3 linked regions of the Saccharomyces cerevisiae S288C genome follow. The protein of the gene in region 1 binds, or shares a complex with, the protein of each later gene. Each region holds a gene or a part of one and is shown on either strand. Other genes may lie near its edges.

What was found. The genes of interacting proteins can lie anywhere in the genome.
Region 2: RSC1 (region 1) and LDB7 share a complex: the UniProt entries of both Saccharomyces cerevisiae proteins name them as parts of the two forms of the RSC complex.
Region 3: RSC1 (region 1) and SFH1 share a complex: the UniProt entries of both Saccharomyces cerevisiae proteins name them as parts of the two forms of the RSC complex.

What each region holds. Positions count from the first base shown.
Region 1 is NC_001139.9:599,093-607,312, reverse strand, and holds RSC1 (RSC subunit protein RSC1), read right to left. Parts: upstream 5,653-8,220; coding exon 2,866-5,652; downstream 1-2,865. Other genes in the region: PEF1 (Pef1p), read right to left, coding at 170-1,177; LST7 (Lst7p), read left to right, coding at 1,812-2,540; MUP1 (Mup1p), read right to left, coding at 6,172-7,896. UniProt on the Saccharomyces cerevisiae protein: Component of the chromatin structure remodeling complex (RSC), which is involved in transcription regulation and nucleosome positioning. RSC is responsible for the transfer of a histone octamer from a nucleosome core particle to naked DNA.
Region 2 is NC_001134.8:213,700-220,412, reverse strand, and holds LDB7 (Ldb7p), read left to right. Parts: upstream 1-3,283; coding exon 3,284-3,826; downstream 3,827-6,713. Other genes in the region: drug-responsive transcription factor PDR3, read right to left, coding at 13-2,943; cytoskeletal protein-binding protein SLA1, read left to right, coding at 4,047-6,713. UniProt on the Saccharomyces cerevisiae protein: Component of the chromatin structure-remodeling complex (RSC), which is involved in transcription regulation and nucleosome positioning. RSC is responsible for the transfer of a histone octamer from a nucleosome core particle to naked DNA.
Region 3 is NC_001144.5:773,697-781,625, forward strand, and holds SFH1 (Sfh1p), read right to left. Parts: upstream 4,169-7,929; coding exon 2,888-4,168; downstream 1-2,887. Other genes in the region: MMS22 (Mms22p), read left to right, coding at 1-2,608; U2-type spliceosomal complex subunit CWC24, read right to left, coding at 4,477-5,256; PEX30 (peroxisome biogenesis protein), read left to right, coding at 5,519-7,090; 60S ribosomal protein eL38 RPL38, read right to left, coding at 7,447-7,683. UniProt on the Saccharomyces cerevisiae protein: Component of the chromatin structure-remodeling complex (RSC), which is involved in transcription regulation and nucleosome positioning. RSC is responsible for the transfer of a histone octamer from a nucleosome core particle to naked DNA.

The sequences.
Region 1 (8,220 bases):
AAGAAAAAAAAATGTCTGTCATCGAGGTCTCTTTTGTGTCGCTAACAAAACATCACTAAATACGAAGACACTTTGCATGGGAAGGATGCAGCAAATGGCAAACTAACGGGCCATTGATTGGTTTACCTCTTCTATTTGTATTACGACCAGAAAGAACGAATGGTTTTCATCAATGAGGTAGGAAACGACCTAAATATAATGTAGCATCGATAAAATCTTTGTACTGTATGGTTGCAATGCCTTCTTGATTAGTATCGAATTTCCTGAATAATTTTGTTAATCTCATTAGCCAAACTAACGCCTCAACGAATTTATCAAACTTTAGTTCTTTTCCTGTTCCATTTCTGTTTATAAACTCAGCATATTGGTCAAATGTTTTCTCGCTAACTTCAAAAGGTATTAGATATCCTAGTTCTTGAAGTGAGTTATGAAATTCGCTTACAGAAATGGTGAGCGATCCGTTGATATCATTGTCCACATAAACTTTTCTCCAACTTTTCACTCTTTTGTATAGGGCGATGAATTCTGCCTGGTTGACAGTGCCAAACCTGGAAGCACCAAATAAATTTATCAGCGCATCTACTGATGATATACAAAAATGGGAGTTGTCGTCGTTTTGTAGTAAGTTCTGTAGTTCCTCAGCTGTCAGTCGGTTTTTGCCCTTTACATCATGGTTATGAAATAGCTGTGTGGCCACTTGCATGTCTCGTACATCTTCTCTGCTATCGAACGAAGCAGGTGCAACTTTCTTCAAGAGTTGTGCAGGCACTGCTTGATTGTGAATTAGGGGAGGAGGAGAGGAAGCTATCCGTTGAGCGGAAGTGTTCAAGTTGTTATAATGGGTTGGCGCTGGAGGTATAGGCCTGCCTGCTGGTTTCTGTGCGATAACATTATATCTAGGATCCACAGGTGTTTTCGTATGTCTTGGAGAATAACTTTGGGGAGAACCATAGGAGTGGTGACCGTTTTCTGCTCTGTTTTTGTTATATTGAGTTTGTAAGGGAATTGGAGCTGAGTGGACTCTAGTGTTGGGAGTTTGTGCTTGAGTAACCTTTATTTGTTGCTGTCGTTGTTTCTCTTTCTCGAATTCACGTCTAGTTTCCTCCATGGCCTCTTTAGGTGTAGCATAGCGTACAAAGTCATCGCCAGCAGCGTATTTGAGCTTCTTTGCACACATCGTTTAATGGTGTAGGTTTATAGTTATTTTATGCGGTATACGGTATACATACATGTTCAGTGAAATAGCAATTCCCATCGCTTTGTATTCCTGCGGTTTTTTTATTCGGATAGTTTCTAAATAAAAAAAATCGACAAGACCCTGAGCCAGATGACTGAAATTATCAGTTGTTAAAAGCGATGGAGCACTATCCAATATGCGTATTGTTTTCTTCTTCTGAGTTATGTATATAATGGTGAACTACAAGATTATATAGATTCAGGTGCAAGGTATTGAGCATGACACATGCTGTGTGTATCGTGGCCTATTCACTGTGGCCTATTTCATTCCACTTCCACTGAATATCATTTCAAATGTATTAAAAGACTTTTGAAAGTAACACTGATAGTATGTTGTAGTTGTTCTTGGAAATGTTGAACCAAACCGATTGTTCATTCGCCAAGTTCGAAGATGCCGTTTTCGTACTTGCCAGAAAAAACACGCTTGAAAAAGAAAATCTTGAGTAAAAAGAAAAGGGCTTAGGAATCTTCTATTCGATGACCATCAAACGATAAATGAAGCAATAAAGTCCAACTAACTAGCACCTCCATAAAATAAGTTAGCGTTTAAATGGTTGATGAAATAGATGCATAGAATGTCCTCGACAGTGATTTCATTGGCTCATTTCTGCGACAAGCATGGCCCAAGGATCATATCAGTTACACAATCCGCAGAAAAGGGAACGCTAGGTGAAGAATTACTAGTGCCTGATTATCCAACTGAATCATATTGCGAATCATGTCTTTTACAGTTTCCTGAAGAGTCAACTAGATCGATGCGGTGCTTCATCGAAGATGTTCCGTTTATAACTACCCAATATTCTTCTATAAGATACCAATTGCTAAATTCTATTATTAAAAGAGCCTTTTCTGAAGAAACAATGATTTATGATAATATGCCTTTTATATTTTTTGATGATCTTAGAGGATTGAACTTAGTTATAGGCTTTAAACTGTATGATGAAAATGCTAGAGGCAATGAAAGAAGATATTGTTTTATTTTAACAGTCGATTCCAGAAGCCATGACGATTCTATGAAAATGTTGAGTGAACACTGGAACTTTATCATCGGTGGATTTGATAAAATGATTGCATATATTAAAAACATTCATAAAAGCGAATTCTTGGGGAAAAATAAAACGGTGGAAAACAATTTGGAAACATTGAATAATAACGCTTTCATTGGCTCATATTTACGTGCAAACAAATCTAAATTCGGCCGTAATTTGGTGTCTCTGACGGATGATAAATTTCTCTTCGTGCGAATACATAAATGGAATTCATTTTTACTCCATACAGTAATGAATGAAAATAAATTACCTTGACTCAAATAAACTGAGATAAATGCTGGTAACCTAATAACCGATGAAATTACGGCATGGAAAATTGTTGGAACAACCTCCTAGTTCCTTTTATTCTTTCATTTCGATTCGAAATAGTCATCAAGGCCGAATACTTTACTCCGACGTGGCTTCTGGGATGAATTTAAAAAGGAAAGCCATTCTGGACCGCGATAGATAAATAGTAAGCTAGGTTTACAATTGTGCGTTTTGAAAGGCAACAAAACGATTGAGGTCTATCGTATGAATAACAAAATATATATGGTATATGCATGAACATATATAGATACATGTGGTGAATTTATCATGGTCATAATTTATTAAATTCTCGTAATCTGAATGCAAGGTATTCAGCGGAAGAATTTAAGCCAAAAGCAGACGTGGTCGGGATATCTTCAATTTCGTGCTCGTCTTCTGTATCTTCGTTTTCGTCTTCACTCTCCTCCGCCGTATCGCATTCTTTCCCATCGTTATCACCGCTTGCAATTGTGCTTAAATCCATGAAATTAGAAGAGTTATTCGAGGATGGGCTTAGATTTAAATCCATATCTAAATTCAAGCTCGGCGGAGGATTAAAAATATTAGCAATCATATCTTCGCTGAAGTCATTTGGTGGTTCCATAACATCTTCTTCAATGTCTTCGTAATCCAGTTTTCTCCTTTTGTTTTTACAGAACCATCTATTCAAAGGTACCCGTACTAAATCATTTCCGGAATCAATAACTCTCTCTGTGATTTTTACACCGGGCCCTTTGAACCATATTATTTGCTCATTTGCAGTATTTATGTCATTAATAGCAGTATTACCGAGATTTTGAGCGTTTTTTAGATTTGATCTACTGAAACGTTCTGTCGATTGGATGGTTCTTATATTTTTTTCCATTGGTACAGGAACCACAAATGCACCCGGGGCTTCAATAACAATATGGTTGAAGTTGTACTTCGAGGTATGAGCAGTTAAGGTATTAATCATTGAGGATAATGTAAAACTTTTAGATGCAGGCTTTTTGGGAGCTGTTGATGATAGCTGTGTCTGTTTTTTTGCACTATGGTATTTAGAGCGACTACTCTGTTCTAATAAAGAGGGCGATTGAAACTTAGGAACGGAAGGATGTGATAGTAAATTATGAGAACTATTATTCATGTTTTCTAATTTCAAAAAATTGGAAGTCTGATTGAAGTTCTGATGCAATAGTGGAGTATTTGATGAGGACCTGAAATTGGAGCTGGGAATTGATTTAGTCTGCTTTAAAGTGGGTAAACGTATTGTGGAGGAACTGTTCACTCTGGGCATACTGCTTGTGGTTAAGGTATCTGTAATTATTGTTCCTGTTTCGTAATCTATTTTACCTTCTTCTGGTGGATCATTTGGTCTGATTATGTATCGAGGGCAGTCATCAGAAGTTGAATACTCTCCCAGATCATCCCTCTCTAATTTGGGGCCTAAATATACAGCGCCTACCAAAGGTGGGGCAGTTGGGGCTCCCTCCGTGGGTTCTGGAACTTTGTCATTTAGAGTTGCGTTTGCTGGTAACAAATCTGCTATTGGAGAAGGGTATTTAAAAAATTTTCTTCCATTAACAGGTATCGTAGGCTCATCTTGGTCACGGAGTTCTTCCGGCAGGCAAGCTTTCCAAGTCCTGATTTTGTTGAAAACCTTATCACTTTCATTATAACGGAATTCGCAAACAAATTGAGGACCATTGACTTTCGTGCTAGGATCCCCACGCTGGAATCTGGTAAAATGAATAACGTAGCACTTTCCCTTAATATCCTGAATAGGATGATCTCTATATTGACCAGTTTTCATGACCTCATTCTTGTAGAATAACCTATCCACCCGATGAACGGTTTGTTCTGGCCTAAAATACCAGCAAGCATTCAACCATTTGTTTCCATCTGTAGTAGACCATAATCTAAAAATCTGGCCAACAATGGGTTTATTGATGTCGTTTGGATTATGTAAAAGAACCCAATCACCTATCTGGTATTTCTCATCATTGATTTCTACATCATCTAGAGGATATCTTAATTCACCTTCAGGTAAATAGTCTTCATCAGGTTTGGATAATTCAATTCGCACTAATCTATTGAAGTTTTTCTCCAATAGTTGAGCTCGTATTATATTGCTCTGATCTTGAGAATAATAAAGCTTAAAATTTGTTAGCATTAATTGAAAGTCTTCCTCAAAAGTATGGAAATTTCTATATTTTCTGGACTTAACCTTTTTCCTAATATCCATTAGACAAATGGGATCTGTTATGACAGAGTAATAGGTTGGCTCCTCGTTTCTATCTGGTAGTTTTTCAAAACAGAGGGTAAGCGTCTTATTATTTTGGTCGACCTCTCTTCTCATCATCTTCAAGATATTCTTAATCCTCAGTACATAGGGTAGATCAATTACTGGTGGTCTACCGCGTCTAACATGGGTTTTGGGATGCGCCGAGGTAATATTTGCATAGTTAACAACTGGAGTAGGTGAAGCCAGCGGCTGCGGTGTTATAGAAGCAGAATGGGTTGGAAACGCTGGTGAGTTTTTTTGTTGCATCCTGTAATCTTGGTTGGTTGGTTTCCTTTCAGTGATCGAACTATCTAGTTTTGCGAAAGCCATTTTCATCTCTGGATTTAAGCCAGCCTTTTCATCATTTTCCTGTGTATTAATGGGGTTCGAGGATAAATCGGAGGGTTGCATACTCTCTGCGAATATTTCCGGAATTCGACCTAGAGATGGATATGTCACCTCGGGATAATGTTTTCTTATATTGTGCACGATCTTTCCTTTAATAAAAGACTCAAGAAGAATGGCATATTTGTAAATTACTGAATCTTTTGCATTGTATGTCATTGCATTCCAAGGAATTTGCGCAAAATCGTTAACAAAATCTTGTGGCGATGTATAATGGGGCAATCGTTTCTTTAAAGTGTTTAAAGATATCGGATTCCTTATTATAATGTAATAGTCTGGATATTCTTTTTTAGGTGGCAGTACATTGAATATTGGATATATTTCTATACCATTTTCATCCTTTAAATGGAAGACAGCATCGTATTGTGTTTTGAGTAGCTTCTGTAAAAACCCATTATCTTGCTCCACCATGCTTGAAATATAATTTTTTTTATCTCTGTTTTGTAGCTAGGGCACTTCACAGATTTTCCCTTCGCTAATACCACACTGTTCCGCCAACTCAGCTTAATTTCAGTTGTAACTCAATTGGGCCTTTGATTAATAAAAAAAAAAGCTTTCCCGAGACAACAATCACTATTGACGGAAAGAGGGTAAGGGAGCAATAAAGAACTATATAAAACGTTAGACAAACGATTTTATAGAGCGCTTATCTGTGTTTATAGCGTTGCTGATAGATTTAGTTAATTCCAATTTGAATCTATCTCATCAGCAATTCATGATATTGCTTTTTCTTAGTATGCTATTTTGATTTCGCGCAATAGTAGGTATAAAAATTGAAAAAATACGAAACGGAATAGCATCTTAAACTATTAAATGGCAGAAATTATAATGAGGTTTGGTACCTATATATTTTGTATAAAGAAAATGCAATTATAAGAATGTTCATACGTGATTATAAGAATCGAGATGAGATGGTAAGTACCTTTTTGGTTACAGCGATTTTTCTTGTTCACTTTTGTAATGTTCGATTATATTCGTTTCAATAACGCCGTCTTCTTGTGTATCGACATCGCCAATAGTGTCATCATAAACTTTGGCAATTTTGACTCTCCAGAACCCATCTTCACCAAGCACATCCTTGGAAACCAATTTGTAGTGGCCCCATCTTGGCAATAATTGGGCCCAAACAACGTAGTAAACACCACCAAAGAAGAAAATACCCCAAGCAATTACACAGTGGATCCAGTATGGCATGCTTGAATACACCGACTCGCCATTTGAAGGTGGAACGTAAGGAGCAATAATCAGGTATAAATTGGATAATGTGAAAAATCCCGTAACAAAAACACCGGCCTTAATTGGTGGGTTCCATTCAATTTTACCTTGTCTACGTTGCCAGTATATCCAAAGCAAACCCGCGCTAATGGCAAAATTAATAATATTCATTGGGTAGGAAATTAAATTTTGGACTAGCAAATATGCATCACCTGGAGGTGGGGCTAAAATGGTTACTGTACAAACAATAAAATGTTGAAACAAACCAACCATTGGGGAGTTGAATGGCTTAGAAGAGGCAAAGAAATTAGAAAAGGGCAACACACCTTCACGTCCTAGTTGTTGAATAATTCTACCCTGAGAAAAAATGACAGAAAGAACATTTCCTAAGGCACTCAACCCGACCAGTGCGGCTGCTGCTCTCTTGGCTTGGCCGCCAAACACAATATCGAAGAAGTCAGCAGCTAAAATCAATTTTGAAGAAATTAACTTATCTTTTGGAACCACAGCGAAGTAAGCAATGTTCACAAAAATGTAGATTATAGCCAAGAAGACCATCGATGTAGGACCAGCAATCTTCAAAGTTCTCACAGGGTTCTTAACTTCACCAAGTGCATAGTTAACATTGGAGTAACCGACAAACGACCAAATAACACTATATAAGGCGTTAACAATACCATAAGCAGTGGCGGTTTCAGTACCTTCAAAAGCATTACGAAAGTTGTGAGATTGATAACCATCTTTGAGACCACCGCCAAGGGCAACCCAACCGGTAATAGAAATGAAGAGGACAATACCAATCTTGAAAATACCTAAAATGTTTTGCAAATATAGACCAATCTTGACATTCAGAGAATTAATTAGGAATGCAAAAAAAACGACGGCCACACCAATACCTCTTTGATTCCATTTGGTCACTTCAGTATCAGCAGCAGTTAAAAACATAATAGCTGTATTGATGGAATTACCAGCAGCCCAACCTAGGAAGAAAATATACGCAGCATACATACAGGTAATGAAGAATTTTGGTTTCCTGAAAATAGCCTCCAGGTAGTTTTTTTCACCACCATTTTTCGGTATAGCCGTACCGAATTCCATGTATACATATAACCCAGAAATGGCAATAATGGCGCCAACTGCCCACATAATTAATGCAAGCCCCACAGACCCACATAGTGTGTAAATGGTCGAGGAAACGGCGAAAACACCGGTACCAAGCATTCTATTACAGATAAGCCCAATACACGACAAAATACCTAACTGCTTTTCACCTTGGTCCAATTCTGTAGCAAATTGCTGGCCTGCCTCAAAATCGGAGGCACCGTTGTCAGCATCCACTGTCGAGTTACTTACTTCCTTTTTTGTAGTAGAAGAAGAAAATTGATAGTTCTCCTTGTTGAAGACATTCAACTGTGACAGAAACGTTCTTCCTTCCGACATTGCTCCGCCTTTGTTTTCTCTTCTCTTGTCTTTAAAGATTTCTACAGAATGTGAAACTAATCCAAAAACAAAATATGATGAACAGCGGAAAAGTTTGTGTGAGAATCATCCTTATATATATATACTGTATGTAATCTTACATCACCATATGAAAATAACGGGCTGACTCAAGAAATTCACCGCCAAGTAGGAGGAACCACATTTGTAATGCAAGACTGTGTTATGTGTTACCATGGTGTGCAATAACTGCGAAGGTAGCACCGCTTGAGTCAACTGTGGCAGTTTATTAGATGCCACTCGAGTGTGGTGAACGGCAATTCCACA
Region 2 (6,713 bases), on another chromosome or scaffold:
TTCTTTGCGTTTTCATAAGAAGGGATATGAAGTATTGTCATTCCACAGAGTATGATATAAATCAGTCAGGTCACCACTGCTGACAAACTCCTCTAAAGTACCCAAGTTGTATATATTATTCTCATTAGCGCTTATTTGGCTAGGCGCAGAATGTTGTCTTTTTGTCTGTTGTAACGATCGATCTTGATGCCGCAGATTACATGGAACATTTTCTGATGCGTCTTGAGTGTACGATTCCTCTCCAGAGTTCAACAAAGACGATAACTTCAACGGTGAGTTTGCTGCTGAGGCAGAAGCATTGTTGTATGAAGGAGCAGTACTGTCATACAACTGAGAAATTTGGCTTGAATTTCCTTGGTCTGGAATATTACCAGTGGCCAATTTGTCTCTATACAAAAATTTATAGTCGCTTTCTAACATTTTTCTAATTATTAAATGAAAGCCTGATTTTTCAACGGATTTCAACATGTACCTGTAAATAAAAGAGCGGGTATCAAAAAACTCACGCAAAAGGTCACTTAGACCCGGTTCAACTTCTTTCAAACGTTCGATGAATTCGGCTCTATCAATTTGTTCGGCATAGCAGTATTTTAAAAATATGATTCTTATGGATATGGCAACCAAACTCGAACTTCTCGAAAACTCCCTGAAAGTTTGACAATCATAATCCTTCTCGTCCAAATTATTATTAAAAAAAGAAATAATGTTAGTTATTCTCTTAAAAACTTTCAAAGTGTTGATAACATCCTCTAAAGTGATGTGCGGGTCTTCCACATAAAATTTTGAAGCCATCACGAAAAATATCAGTTCATAAAAGTCCAAACATGCCCAAACAATAAAATCAGTATCAACCTGTATTAAGAATTGATTAATTTCCCTCCATTCTTGAAACATTTCATTCGCATATTTCATGCTTTGCTCAGTTATCACCTCTGGATCTTCAGATAGCCTAGCAATAAGATTGTTAACAGCACCCAAGATGGAGAACCATGTATTTTTATGGTAACTTACAAATTTAGCTGCTTCAATTAGATCGTTTTTTGGATATTCTGGATATTTGCAGTGAGCTACTTGAAAAACTCTTGAGGTGTGAAGCTTTATTTTGGCCAATTTTAACCTAAAAGATTCAATGTCCTCAAAAACTTTCTCCAATAACTTTTGTCTGATAATTGTGGGTTTAACGGATACTTCTAAAGACGTGAATTTCTCATTATAAAGAGTCTCTGAAAAAAAATCTCCAACAATTTGGGCTATCGCTAACTCACCATATTCAATAAGCCTGGACAATGACAAGTTTTTTAGCTTGGGCGATGACGGTGATAAAGAGGACGTACCAATTTTCGTTAAAAATTCTTTATGGTTAATGAATCCCATGTCCCTGAAATCCTTCGGCAAGAGACAATTCATTTGATGTTCATTTATTAAGGATAAATCACCAAGATCAGTTAAAAAACGCTTTTCCAGACTGTATATTTTCCACCATATTTTTCTTCTCCGTTCGGCAGTATTTTCGTCTATTCCAACATAATACTCCCAACGAGACAATCCCATCTTAGTGGAGCATGTAACCGCAACTTCTAGCATTTTTTCAAATCCAAAACGCTCATCAATTTCATTTTGGATTTCTAGCAATGACACTAAAATCTCTAGGTAATCTAAAGTGTTTATGTCCAACATGTGATATAGGGTAACATTGTAGTATGCGTAACAAAGAGTAGATAGAAGATATTCTGATGAGCAGAATGACGAGAATAAAACACTCTTTTCTTGATGGGGCAAGGAGAAAGCTTGGTTTAAAAATTCCGCAAAGCGCTTCCTATGTTGAGCATACATTTGAGTAACTATTCGAAACATCGAAAATGAATCATGTAAATTTTCTATCAATTGAGTAGTCGTAAACCCGGTAATCGATTGTATAAATGGCTGAGGTAGTTGATGAATAACAGAAATGACTAAATCGTTAGATAAAGGTGCTGGGGAAGTAGGCAAACTAGCAGATGCCGTCGTAGTAGGAGTTTGCTTTATTTTTTGAAGATAGTTCTCTAATGGATTAGAAATAGAGATGCAACCTTGGATCAAATGTTCATAACACAAATCAAACAATCTTAATATTAGATAAATAGTTTCCTTTGTATCTATTAACATCGATGAACCCGTGTTTTCGATATTTTTTTTAATTAAATATCCTATACCTCTTAGTGAAAAAGCCTGTATTGGAGAGAAAAGACCAAATACTTCATCTACTAGTGGAGTGGTGGCTAGAAATGAATCTGGACTTTGTGATTTAACCATTTGGTCTGTCCAAAAGGAGAACCTCGTCATGTGTATTTTATTTCTATACTTGTTGGTTAAAAGATACGTTTCTATCGATCTTTGTGGGCGAGGAGAGAAACTGGAAAGCTTGGGGTAGTTTATTTCGGGATTCCAACTGTTAATCAGGTTATTCAACTGCGACTTCGTTTTATCAATCAAGAGCTGAGTGTCATCACAAGGCGGCAGAGCGTACAAATTTGTCAGAATATTTTGATACGTAACCAGTTGATTTTGATATTTGGAATCATCTTTAAAGAGAATATTATTATCATTAGTAGGATTATTGGAAGTATCAGGAGCATGCGTCGCACTCGGAGAGACTGGAGTCTGTATCAGGTCGTTCATCAGTTTGAAGTAATATTGATTATCTAGCTTAATCGCAGTGTCCAGATGCTGTACATCTGCTGAAGCCTCTACATTGGCGTGGGAAGAGGGTGGAGCAACAGCTGTAGTAGGCAAAGACTGGGAACTATCCTCCTTCTGCGGTAAATGTTTTTTTAGGAATACACACGTACAATCGTAAGAAATGCAGTTGGTACATGGATATTTACCTGTGCATTTGATTTTCCTTTTTCTGCAATTGACACATGCTGTCGAAACTTTTGATCTAGTTGATTTCTTCACTTTCATTGCGGTCACGCAATAAGAAAAAATTAATAAAACTGCTGATGCAGTTGTCGCCTAAGACCTATGGTTGCTTTGGAAGGCTCCTGAAGACACAAACACAGGAAATACATAAATACATTAATGAGATTCTATAACAGTATCTACATATTTGCATTCTAAGACTCACTGTGATAGTTCATTTATTATTCCGCGGAAAGTCCGAGCGGCAGAGGAGGCAGCTCCGCGGAAACAAGGGCAGCGCCTGTTGTTCTGGAAGAAAATGAAAAGTGAAATGCAGTTGTCGTGGAAATAATGGCTTTACCTGAAAGCAGCAGAGCACGGTGTTAACAAGGAATAGCTGAGAATGAGTGGAAGTAATATGGGATACTATGACGTACTCGCAGGGCTTTCAGCGCTGGAAAAGTCATCCCAGGTAGTGTTCAGTGCGACTGAGCTTCAACAGCTTACGCAACAATCTCATGCTACCGACAAGGGCATAGAGGGCAGTGAGAATAGTAAAGCGAAGGTATCCAAGCCCAAAAGAGTAGCTGTACATGGTTACCTAGGCGGTAAAGTGTCGCTCGCCGATGCGGCACAGGTGGAGTATGAAGTAGGCCATTCACTGCTGGGCAGTTATGTGCCACGCCAGCAGTTGGAAGCCCTGTCAAGTGTCGACTTTTCGCACCATTTCCACCGCACATTAGAATGCAAAGCTGCTCTAGAGACACACGATGTTTTTCTTGCCGGCGCAGGACAATTGTCTCTACCCTTCCAATCACACATAGAGAGCCCCAGGAATAGCGAGGCTAAAAGGAAAAGAAAAGTGATAATATGCAAACGGTGTCAATCACGATTTATAGGTTCCCATAGGCGGTCTCAACTTAGAGAACATGCCTGCGTAGATTAAACCATGTAATTGATAGAGGTAGAATGTTGCTTCGTAGAAAGTGACTATACGATTCCTAAAAGGGGCTTCCTTCCACTCATGCGAAATCGAGATACATCAGACGAAAACAGAACGAATATTTAGCGCATATATACTATGTATATCTATTGCAATCCTAAAAGAAGGGATAGTGTAACATAGCCAAGGCGACAGAGTGTGTTATATACAAAAGAGCTAGAGTATGACTGTGTTTCTGGGCATCTATAGGGCCGTCTATGCCTATGAGCCGCAGACACCAGAAGAACTGGCCATCCAAGAAGACGATCTGTTGTACCTCTTACAGAAGTCAGACATTGACGATTGGTGGACAGTAAAGAAAAGAGTCATTGGTTCCGATAGCGAAGAACCGGTGGGTCTAGTGCCCTCCACTTACATTGAAGAAGCTCCTGTTTTGAAGAAGGTAAGAGCCATTTATGATTATGAACAGGTGCAAAATGCTGATGAAGAATTGACGTTTCATGAAAATGACGTTTTTGATGTATTCGATGATAAAGATGCTGATTGGCTGTTGGTTAAGTCTACCGTTTCCAATGAATTCGGCTTCATTCCAGGCAATTACGTCGAACCAGAGAATGGGTCCACTTCCAAGCAGGAACAGGCTCCCGCTGCCGCTGAAGCTCCTGCAGCTACTCCTGCAGCCGCTCCTGCTTCTGCTGCCGTACTACCCACCAACTTTTTACCACCTCCTCAACACAATGATAGAGCTCGTATGATGCAAAGTAAAGAAGACCAAGCTCCAGATGAGGATGAAGAGGGCCCTCCTCCTGCCATGCCTGCAAGACCAACGGCTACTACCGAAACTACTGATGCCACCGCTGCGGCTGTTCGATCTCGTACAAGACTATCATACAGCGATAACGATAATGACGATGAAGAGGATGATTACTATTACAACAGCAACAGCAACAACGTTGGAAATCACGAATACAATACAGAGTATCACTCTTGGAACGTTACCGAAATCGAGGGAAGGAAAAAGAAGAAGGCCAAGCTATCAATCGGTAACAACAAGATAAACTTCATACCCCAAAAGGGGACTCCTCATGAGTGGTCAATTGATAAATTGGTCTCTTATGATAACGAAAAGAAACACATGTTCTTGGAATTTGTTGATCCATATAGAAGCCTTGAATTACACACTGGTAATACCACCACATGTGAAGAGATCATGAACATTATTGGTGAATATAAAGGTGCTTCCCGTGATCCTGGGTTGAGAGAAGTCGAAATGGCTTCCAAATCCAAAAAGAGAGGTATTGTTCAATATGACTTCATGGCTGAATCACAGGACGAATTAACCATAAAATCAGGCGATAAAGTCTACATTTTAGATGATAAAAAATCTAAGGACTGGTGGATGTGCCAACTGGTTGATTCAGGGAAAAGCGGTCTCGTTCCTGCACAGTTTATTGAGCCTGTTCGTGACAAAAAACATACTGAATCTACAGCAAGCGGTATCATCAAGTCTATCAAGAAAAACTTCACCAAATCTCCATCTAGGTCGAGATCTAGATCAAGATCTAAATCCAATGCCAATGCCAGTTGGAAAGATGATGAACTACAAAACGATGTTGTAGGTAGTGCTGCCGGTAAAAGGTCAAGAAAAAGTTCATTGTCCTCTCACAAAAAAAACTCTTCGGCGACCAAAGATTTCCCCAATCCAAAAAAATCGCGTCTATGGGTTGATAGAAGTGGTACTTTCAAAGTGGATGCAGAATTCATTGGATGTGCTAAGGGGAAAATCCACTTGCACAAGGCTAATGGTGTCAAGATTGCTGTCGCCGCTGATAAACTATCCAATGAAGATTTAGCGTATGTGGAAAAAATTACTGGGTTCTCCTTAGAGAAATTTAAGGCGAATGATGGGTCTAGTTCCCGTGGCACTGATTCAAGAGACTCTGAAAGAGAAAGAAGAAGGAGATTGAAGGAGCAGGAGGAAAAAGAACGCGATAGGAGATTGAAAGAGCGTGAATTATACGAATTGAAAAAAGCCAGAGAACTCCTAGATGAAGAAAGATCAAGGTTGCAAGAAAAGGAATTGCCTCCAATAAAACCACCAAGACCAACCTCTACTACCTCCGTTCCAAATACGACGTCCGTACCACCAGCCGAAAGCAGCAATAACAACAACTCCAGTAACAAATATGATTGGTTCGAATTTTTCTTGAATTGCGGCGTTGATGTAAGCAATTGTCAAAGATATACAATAAATTTTGATAGAGAACAGCTTACTGAAGACATGATGCCTGACATCAATAACTCAATGTTAAGAACCTTGGGTCTGCGCGAAGGTGATATTGTTAGAGTAATGAAACATCTTGACAAGAAATTTGGAAGAGAAAATATTGCATCAATTCCTACAAATGCCACTGGAAATATGTTTTCACAACCTGATGGTTCATTGAACGTTGCTACAAGTCCGGAAACCTCACTGCCTCAGCAATTGTTGCCACAAACAACAAGTCCTGCTCAAACAGCTCCTTCCACATCAGCTGAGACAGATGATGCTTGGACTGTTAAACCGGCTTCTAAGTCTGAATCTAATTTACTCTCTAAGAAATCAGAATTTACTGGTTCCATGCAGGATTTATTAGACTTGCAACCTTTAGAACCTAAAAAGGCAGCTGCCTCGACACCTGAACCAAACCTAAAAGATTTGGAACCCGTGAAAACTGGCGGCACCACTGTTCCTGCTGCTCCGGTTTCATCTGCTCCGGTTTCATCTGCTCCCGCTCCATTGGATCCATTCAAAACCGGTGGCAACAATATCTTACCCTTATCTACTGGCTTTGTGATGATGCCAATGATTACTGGGGGCGATATGCTGCCTATGCAAAGAACCGGCGGC
Region 3 (7,929 bases), on another chromosome or scaffold:
ACTAAAAAAACCTTTTGAGCCACCTAATTTCTTCAAGATCCAGTTGTCAGACAAGAGTTTCTTGCTATCAAAATTGAATCCTGCAGATATAGCTACATCATTACAGAAAATATTCAGAGTAATCATTGATAAAGGTATCACTGATACTGAACTAGTTCACTTTAACGAAAGCCTTATTGCTTTTTTGGTGCACCTTGACATGCCTGAACTATTCGACTTAATAGGTGAATTTCATCGTGAATTTAGATCGAAGGTCAATAGCTTGAGGAAAAAAGCTAAACCAATCCATTTTTTTCAAATTGCGGCATGCCAATTAATGTTTCTAGAAATATCAAGATATAACAAAATTTCAGCCGCTGCAAAATTCGACATGGATGTCAAACTCTTAGATCATATTGTGTCTTTCTTCAAATTACTTTCTGTCTGTTATGATTCTGTTATGAAAAATCCAATGCAATATCTGTACACAAGTTATTATATTCTCTCTGCTGTCGTTGATGTCATACATAAAAAGGAAGCTTTGTGGGATTTATTTCAAAAGCACCCCTTTTCGCCTCATATTTCACTGTTGCTGGTCAACATATTTCCTACGAAAGTCTGCCGCTGGCAGGTTTTGAGATTAGATTCTGAATTCCAACCCTTGAGTTCGGCATTTCGGTTCATCAATTATTGCATTGAGACTTGTAATTGGAATGTTACAAATTCTTTGATTCTTTCTCTCGATCGCATATTCAAACGGAGAAGATTTTCGGACTTTGAAGAAGAGTCTGATTTGTCACAAAACAATAAGATAATTTATCCTCCAACGAATCAGCTTACGAGTCGATTAATGTTTAACAGATATTTGCATCTACTGACGTTGTGTGAATTGTCTAGTTCTGATACACAACGTGTGATACCGATGGGTGATATTTCTATGAATGATTCTCTATCTGTTTTGAAGAACCGCCTCAACCTACTAATTGTTCTAGCTACACGTTTTGATTTAAACTTAGAGAAGCGCTTCCAAGAGCTAACACGACCGTTATATAGTAAGGAATATTTAAACTTGCATACACAGAACACAGTCAGGACGATAACAACATTGATCATGCAGGCCAGCCTTTCATTCCTGGAAATCAGTCGAATCAAAAATCATCCATTCAGTGGAAAATTTATTGCGTCATTATTTGATAAACTAGTACTTCAACAACCTTCCATATCGGGAGTAACAGAAAATTTTTTGAAAGAATTCACAAATTTAGTCTCCAAAATGAAAAGAAAAAGCGTGAGTATGCTCAAATTTCTGTATCCTTCACTGGTGGCCATGTCTCAAGAAAATATATTCGAGTCGTCTTTTTTTTTATTATTACAGGTATATTTGAAGAGCTTAGATGTGCTGGGTCCAACTTGGGTGCAAAATTATCTTTTTCAGTTTATAAAGAGCAAGGCTCAAGAAAATGAAAGATGGATAGAATGCTATTGTCAGATCGGAAAATTCCTCGTAGATTCTGGTATATTTACCTGGTGGACTTTCTTTACCTATAACGGCTTAGATGCTGCATTACACTTTCAGCTTGCATTTCACTCCCTTATTATCGATTTCTGTGATACAGACTCTTTTGAATTACTGAAAAAACCGCTTTATTCCATTGCTTCTGATTTGCTGCTCATTTCCAAAGATGACGCTTTCTATCACTTTCTTTCCAATCTGTTGAAGAGGGCACATATCATAGTAGCAGATTTGAAACCTGTTTCCGATGAGAATGAACTCCTGCGATTGGCTTATATTTTTTCTAAAGCATTGAAAAAAAATGCATATCAAGATCTATTAGCTGTTTTCTTATCCCTGGCGAAAAAACATTACGATGAAGGGGACATCAGTAGAAATTTCTTGGCAAAATATCTCGAATTTCTTAACAAAAATTGCTTGACTGAGCTAAGAAATAATCAACTCTTCATCAGTCTAAGAAGGGAACTTGGTATTTCAAGTGATGAAGACGAAAAATGTGCGTTCTGGGACTCATTCAATGAAGCAGGTGATATACTTTCCAAAGCTGCATTTGTTGAAACCGGTATTGTTCAAGCCTGTTGCACTGGGAATGAAATTGATGGATATCTTGACAATTTAAGCACTTTATTCACCTCCACCATGTTAGAGAGCCCTTTTGCATTTTTTTCTGACCTGGTGATAGCACACATATTTGAGAACAGACCTTTTTTCGACGTGAATATCAAGAATTTTCTTCTATCTCACTTCATAGACCTTTTCAACAAGGTTTTAAAAATGAAATTCGAGCAGGTATCTCCTGATGAATTTGCTGAACTTTGCAAAGTATACAGGGCGTTATGTATTGAGTGCGCAACAGACGACACCTTTAATAGTAATAGTGATTTGATCGCCGCAAAAGATGCGTTTTTGGTATCTGTGTTGAGAATCGCAGATGGGTTTTGGGAGCATGACAAACTTTTGCAGCTAAGGATGCTTGATAGTAATATGAACATACCTAATCAGATTCCTCATACTACTTTGCAAAGTTCGCTATCTGCGATTGTAATAAAGATAATAGAAAGTAATATAGGAAAAATTGAGGCGTCTGAACCTTTCAAAACCTTCAAGAATACGTAAATTATACACATGTAATATAAGCATATTTAAAAATTCTCCGTAATATATGTCATATATGTCAAATTGCGAATTAGTCCAAATAGAAACAAGATCTATCAGTGTTGGTGATAAACATTTTGTATTCTTTTGGTAACGTGTATCTCAAAGAAGTGCATGACTTTTTTTACGTTCTCTTTAGTCTTGATTTAGTTGCTTCTGCGTTTGTTAAATTTTTTGTCCTTCCCGTTTGATTAATAATACTTATAATAATACAATTCTGTAACAAGAAAAGCAAAGTTACTACATTCTCATTGTGGTTTCTAAGTCATCTAATCTTCTCCTGCCCCTTCTAGATAATCTATCAGTTTCTCTTTTCAATCTTCTTAAGTTTCTTTCTTTTTCAATTTCTCTCTTTTGTATTTCTTCTTTTGTTAATATTTCCACCCTTGGGCACCAATTGGAGCCCAGTTCATCAATATCCAGCCTTATACCAGATAAGTACCCAAATGCGGCATCGTTTGGGACATGGTCCTGAATCAAGTGGCCATCTACCCAGTCCTTCTTTATCTTCAAGATAGTTTCATGAAGCGATTGAGATATTAAGGGGATGAACTCTCTTGTTAAGCCAAGGTCCTGTACAATGGATGTAGCAAATCTTTCTGGAGTAAGTGATTTGTCGTTCAAGTTCCACTGGAAGTTATCTTCAAAAAATCTGTCTTGTAAGTTGCAGGTTAGGTTGATTATCACGTGGAGGTCAGACATTATCTCAGTGGCTGCAATATTTTCGAGGTCTTTCAACTGCTCTTTTATTATATTCGCAATTTGAGTTTGTAAGGTAGCGGAAGTCATATCAAGATCTTTACAGTATATAGAGGCAAATTCCTCCGGAGATATGGAGTCGTCATTGTAGTTCCAGAGAAACTGGTCTTTTATGGTATGACCCATATGTTCTATATCCAAAGTAATTGGTATCATGATTGCCTCTCCAGAATTGGCGTTTGCCTTCGTTTCTTGATCAGTGTTGAGTCTATATGGAGACACCACTTTTCCGTTAATGAAAGTATCTCTTATTTTAGGGTATCTCAATATGTTGAAGGGGTTGTGGTGTTGGTCTTGCAGATCCGGTAGAACGGCGTTTCCAATATCCTGTGCCTGCGCTTTGTTGCTCGGACCATTGCTGGCGTTGTTATTGCTATTCAAACCGGATAAAGATTCCACAACCATGTTTGAACCCGCATCGTATTTGTTGTTAGAGATAATACTATCAGCTCCATTCATGTTCTCTAGGACATTGTATTCGGAACCGTCCATGGTAACACCATTTGTAAGTGCCGGAGTATTTTCATGAGACACTGCATTATCTTTATAGTGTGTATCAGCATTGTTGAAATTAGAACCGTTCATATTGAATTCATCAAAGAGATCGTTGTCATATTCCGCATAGTTGACCACTTTAGCCCTTTTATGCTGCCTTGTTTGTTGAGCCATTGTAAAGATGGGGATACCATCATCTTCGTTTGTCAATCTGTTATGAAAGTTAGAAATATAAGCTTGTGGAATAAGCTGGTTTTGGTGCGACATTGTGTGCTGCTATGTGCCTTTCTTCTTTCTTTTTTCAATGTACTTCATTCAATAATCTCTATTTGTCGTATTTTCTAAGTTTTTTTTTTTTGTCAAAGTAGTCGCGGCGACTTTAAATGAGCAGATCATCATTTAGTAGACAAAAAGACACGGGACATCTTCTATCTATATAGTTTACATACTTTATTATGTGAAAGAGTCTTTCGAAATTGCAACAATGCTCGATAAATCTATGGGTCATGTGCTCTATAATTCCTGTACATTAGCATCGGGTGCGTGTAATTTTTGGGGTGATATGGCATTCTCCATCAACTTTTCCTTTTATTTAGCATCTTCTGTAAGTCAGATGCTACTTTTGCACTGCCGTGGGTCTCCTTGTGGCATATAAAGCATTTGGTGCCCTTTTTCATATCTTTGGCAAAACACGATCCACAAAAATAATGGCCACAGTTTGTGACCACTGGAGACTTGTAATCTTCCTTACAAAGAGTGCACTTGAACGGTATCTTTTCCAAGTCTAGAGTAACCGCTTTGGAGTCCTCTTTATCCGCATTCCATTCTTGGTTCAGCTTCCAGCCAGTCTTGAAATCATCCCTCGAGTGTAAGAACTTGCAGCTATCTCCGTAACCACAGTATCCCGTCTGTTTGTAATCTTTGCAAACGTCGGGCTGAAAATCCATCAGCACCGTGGTCCGGATATTCGTTGGTTGGTTAATCTGTTTAGTGAGGCGTTTATTTTTACCGCTCATGTTCAGTACCAGCTCATTGTCATCACTAGGTCGCCTCTTCTTTGCCTTCTCAGCCAGCTCTTTTCTCTCAAAGTTTAGAAGATCTTCTTTAGTGCTGTCGTCGTTGACCGTTAAAGTGTATTTATCTAAATCCTCACCCTTTTTCTGTAGTTTACCTTCATTCTCATGTGAAAGTTGAAGTGTCCTGCTATTTCCACTCTTGGCTAAGCTCATGAGGTCACTGGAACCCTTTTCTTCATCGCTGGCCACTAGTTTCTCTTCGCTAAAATTAATTTTCTGCCTCTTTTTCTGGTTCTTTTCATCAGAAGAGCTTTTGTTCACTAATCTCTTTCTGAACATGAATACCTGGAGCTTTGATTAAGTGATGGAGCTTTCGATGGCTTTAGCTTGAGTCCACTTCAGATAGAGATGCGCATGGCTTTTTCTTATTATTCTCCGGTTGCACGGAAAGAAGCGGGAAGAGGACTAAAGGGTTTTTGGATCAGCTTCACAAAATATATACTTGGATACGTTCGCTACTGAGGTAAAGTGGGCATGCAAGGTTGCAATTTAGGATTCGAGCTGTCTAGTTGATCCTCCGGAGTGTAAAAACTGATTTTCAATGAGTGGTAACACAACTAACGTGCATGAGACTAGAGCCAAGTTTGCAGAGACGCTGCAACCGAGGATTGGTGGCAATACTACAAAAGTGATACGAGCTGCTTTGGAAAAGAACGAAGCTGAAAGCGGGGTGTCTGAGGATAATGATAACGGGTCATTGGAGAAAGTTAACGTAGCTACTTCGCCGCTTTTGACATCAACACCGCCCACAATCTCAAAGGCGTTGGTGAAATTGTACCCTTATTTAATTCTCATTGACGAATTCCTAAACGTTGTTACATGGACAGGAAAGAATATTTGGAGCAGTGTTTTGATGCTGTGTCTCTTTATTACTACCGTTGAGTATTTTGAAACGCTGGTGAAGTACTTTGGACATCTTGCCATCATTGCTATTTTGTGGGGTTATTCCCTATTGGACAATTATATTGAGGGTACGTTGAGCTCCTCACCAACATTAGAAGATATTGCTCTCTTAATGAACAGAGTATCCTTGAAGTCAGATATTTTGCTCTCCCCCATGGTTAACCTTGGAACGCAAGATATTCAACGGCTTCTATATACTACGGTCATATTATCTCCAATATACGTGATGATAACCTGGCTACTTTTACCACCGAGAAGCTTGATGCTGATGGTGGGCATGTTCCTTTTAACGTATCACTCACCATGGTCTAAAGTAGCAAGAAGGCTTTTATGGAAGTTTAAGATTGTCAGGCTGCTTGTTTTCTACGTCACGGGTTTAGACCTTGGTGGAATAAATAAGGACCAGGGTATTTTTGCTACAGTGCAGAAGCAAGTGAAAAAGTTGGCATCAACAGAAAACAGTAATGGCGTATTATCCGATTCCAAGCCTATCCGTTTTACTTATGTTTTGTACGAGAACCAGCGTCGTTGGTTAGGTATTGGATGGAAGCCTAGTATGTTGAGTTATGAGAGGACTCCATGGACCGATGAATTTTTGAATGAGGCTCCCTCTCCTGAAAACTTCCATCTACCTGAAGAGACTAACACTATGGTTTGGAGATGGGTCGACAAGACATGGAGGCTAGACATGACTAATGACGGTGCCATTCAAGTGCCCAATTCAAAGGCAAGAACTTCCGCAGATCCCTCCCCTGACGAGGGATTTATATATTACGACAATACCTGGAAAAAACCAAGTAAAGAAGATTCCTTTTCTAAATATACAAGAAGAAGAAGATGGGTAAGAACCGCAGAATTGGTCAAAACTTCTGACTTTGATGAAAGCGTGATAAATTCGAATAGAAATTCTGCCATTGAACAAAAGGTTGAAGAAAACAGCACGAATGGTTTAACCGCTGAGCAAGAGCTTGGGAGCAACAAGCAAGAGAAAGATAATGCGAAAAAAGTAGGAGAGCCTACAACAGAAGAGACAAAAGAATTTGCCGAAGCATCAAACATCAACGAAGGCGAGTTTGAAAGAATTTCCTCGACCGATGAAGAAGTTTTAAAATCTAGGGCAAGAGATCGACTGGCAAAAGTATTAGATGATACTGAAGAGAAAGAGCAATCAAATCCAACCATTGGTCGCGATAGCAAGAAGGCCGTATGATGCTCGCTCCCGTTTTTACCTTTACATAATATAATCTCTAATTTACTTTATTACACAAATGGTAACTCCCTTTAAATAAACTTAAAAAAGAACGTATAGAACTCTCTTCTTCAATGAATAGTAATCCAATTTTTTTTATTAACTATACAACGTTATGACTTTAAAAATTAAAAAATATGTTTATGAGTAGTAAGAAAAACAAAAGGAAACAAAAACAAAAAAAGTTATAAAGCCTATTTCTACTTCCTGTATAACGAACACAAATGGATATTATTCTTTATGCGGATGGGAAAGTATTCTTAGTTTTTTTTGTTCCAGTCTCGTTATGATAACACTCCGATCATTCCTTATTTTTCTTATAATCTGTTAACCTTCAAAGTTGGTGGCAAAGATTGGATCAATTTCTTAGCCTTACCAGCATCGTTGATAACCAAAGTGTACAAAGAAGAAGAGCCTCTAACCTTGAACTTGGTTTGTCTGAATGGCTTACCGGCCTTGTTCAATTTTTTGTTAATCTTAACAGTGGCGGTCTTAACGTCAGCTCTTCTGGTCAATTCCAAAAATTGTTTGATGTCGGTGATTTCTCTAGCCATTTTTCCTTGATATTTTGTCGTACTATATTCAACCTGAAATAAAAAACTAACAGTTGAAATATTTCTACATTGAAATTAGAAAATTTAATTCTTTAGATTGAAGATTCAATATTGTGCAAAAGCGTACAGCAGCAATCACGACTCTACATGCCATAGAGCTTGGAAAACTCTCCATAATTTTCCACTCGAACGTATGATGCTCCGTCTATTTTTTTCAACAGTTGCACGGACGAGTCCTCCTTTTCG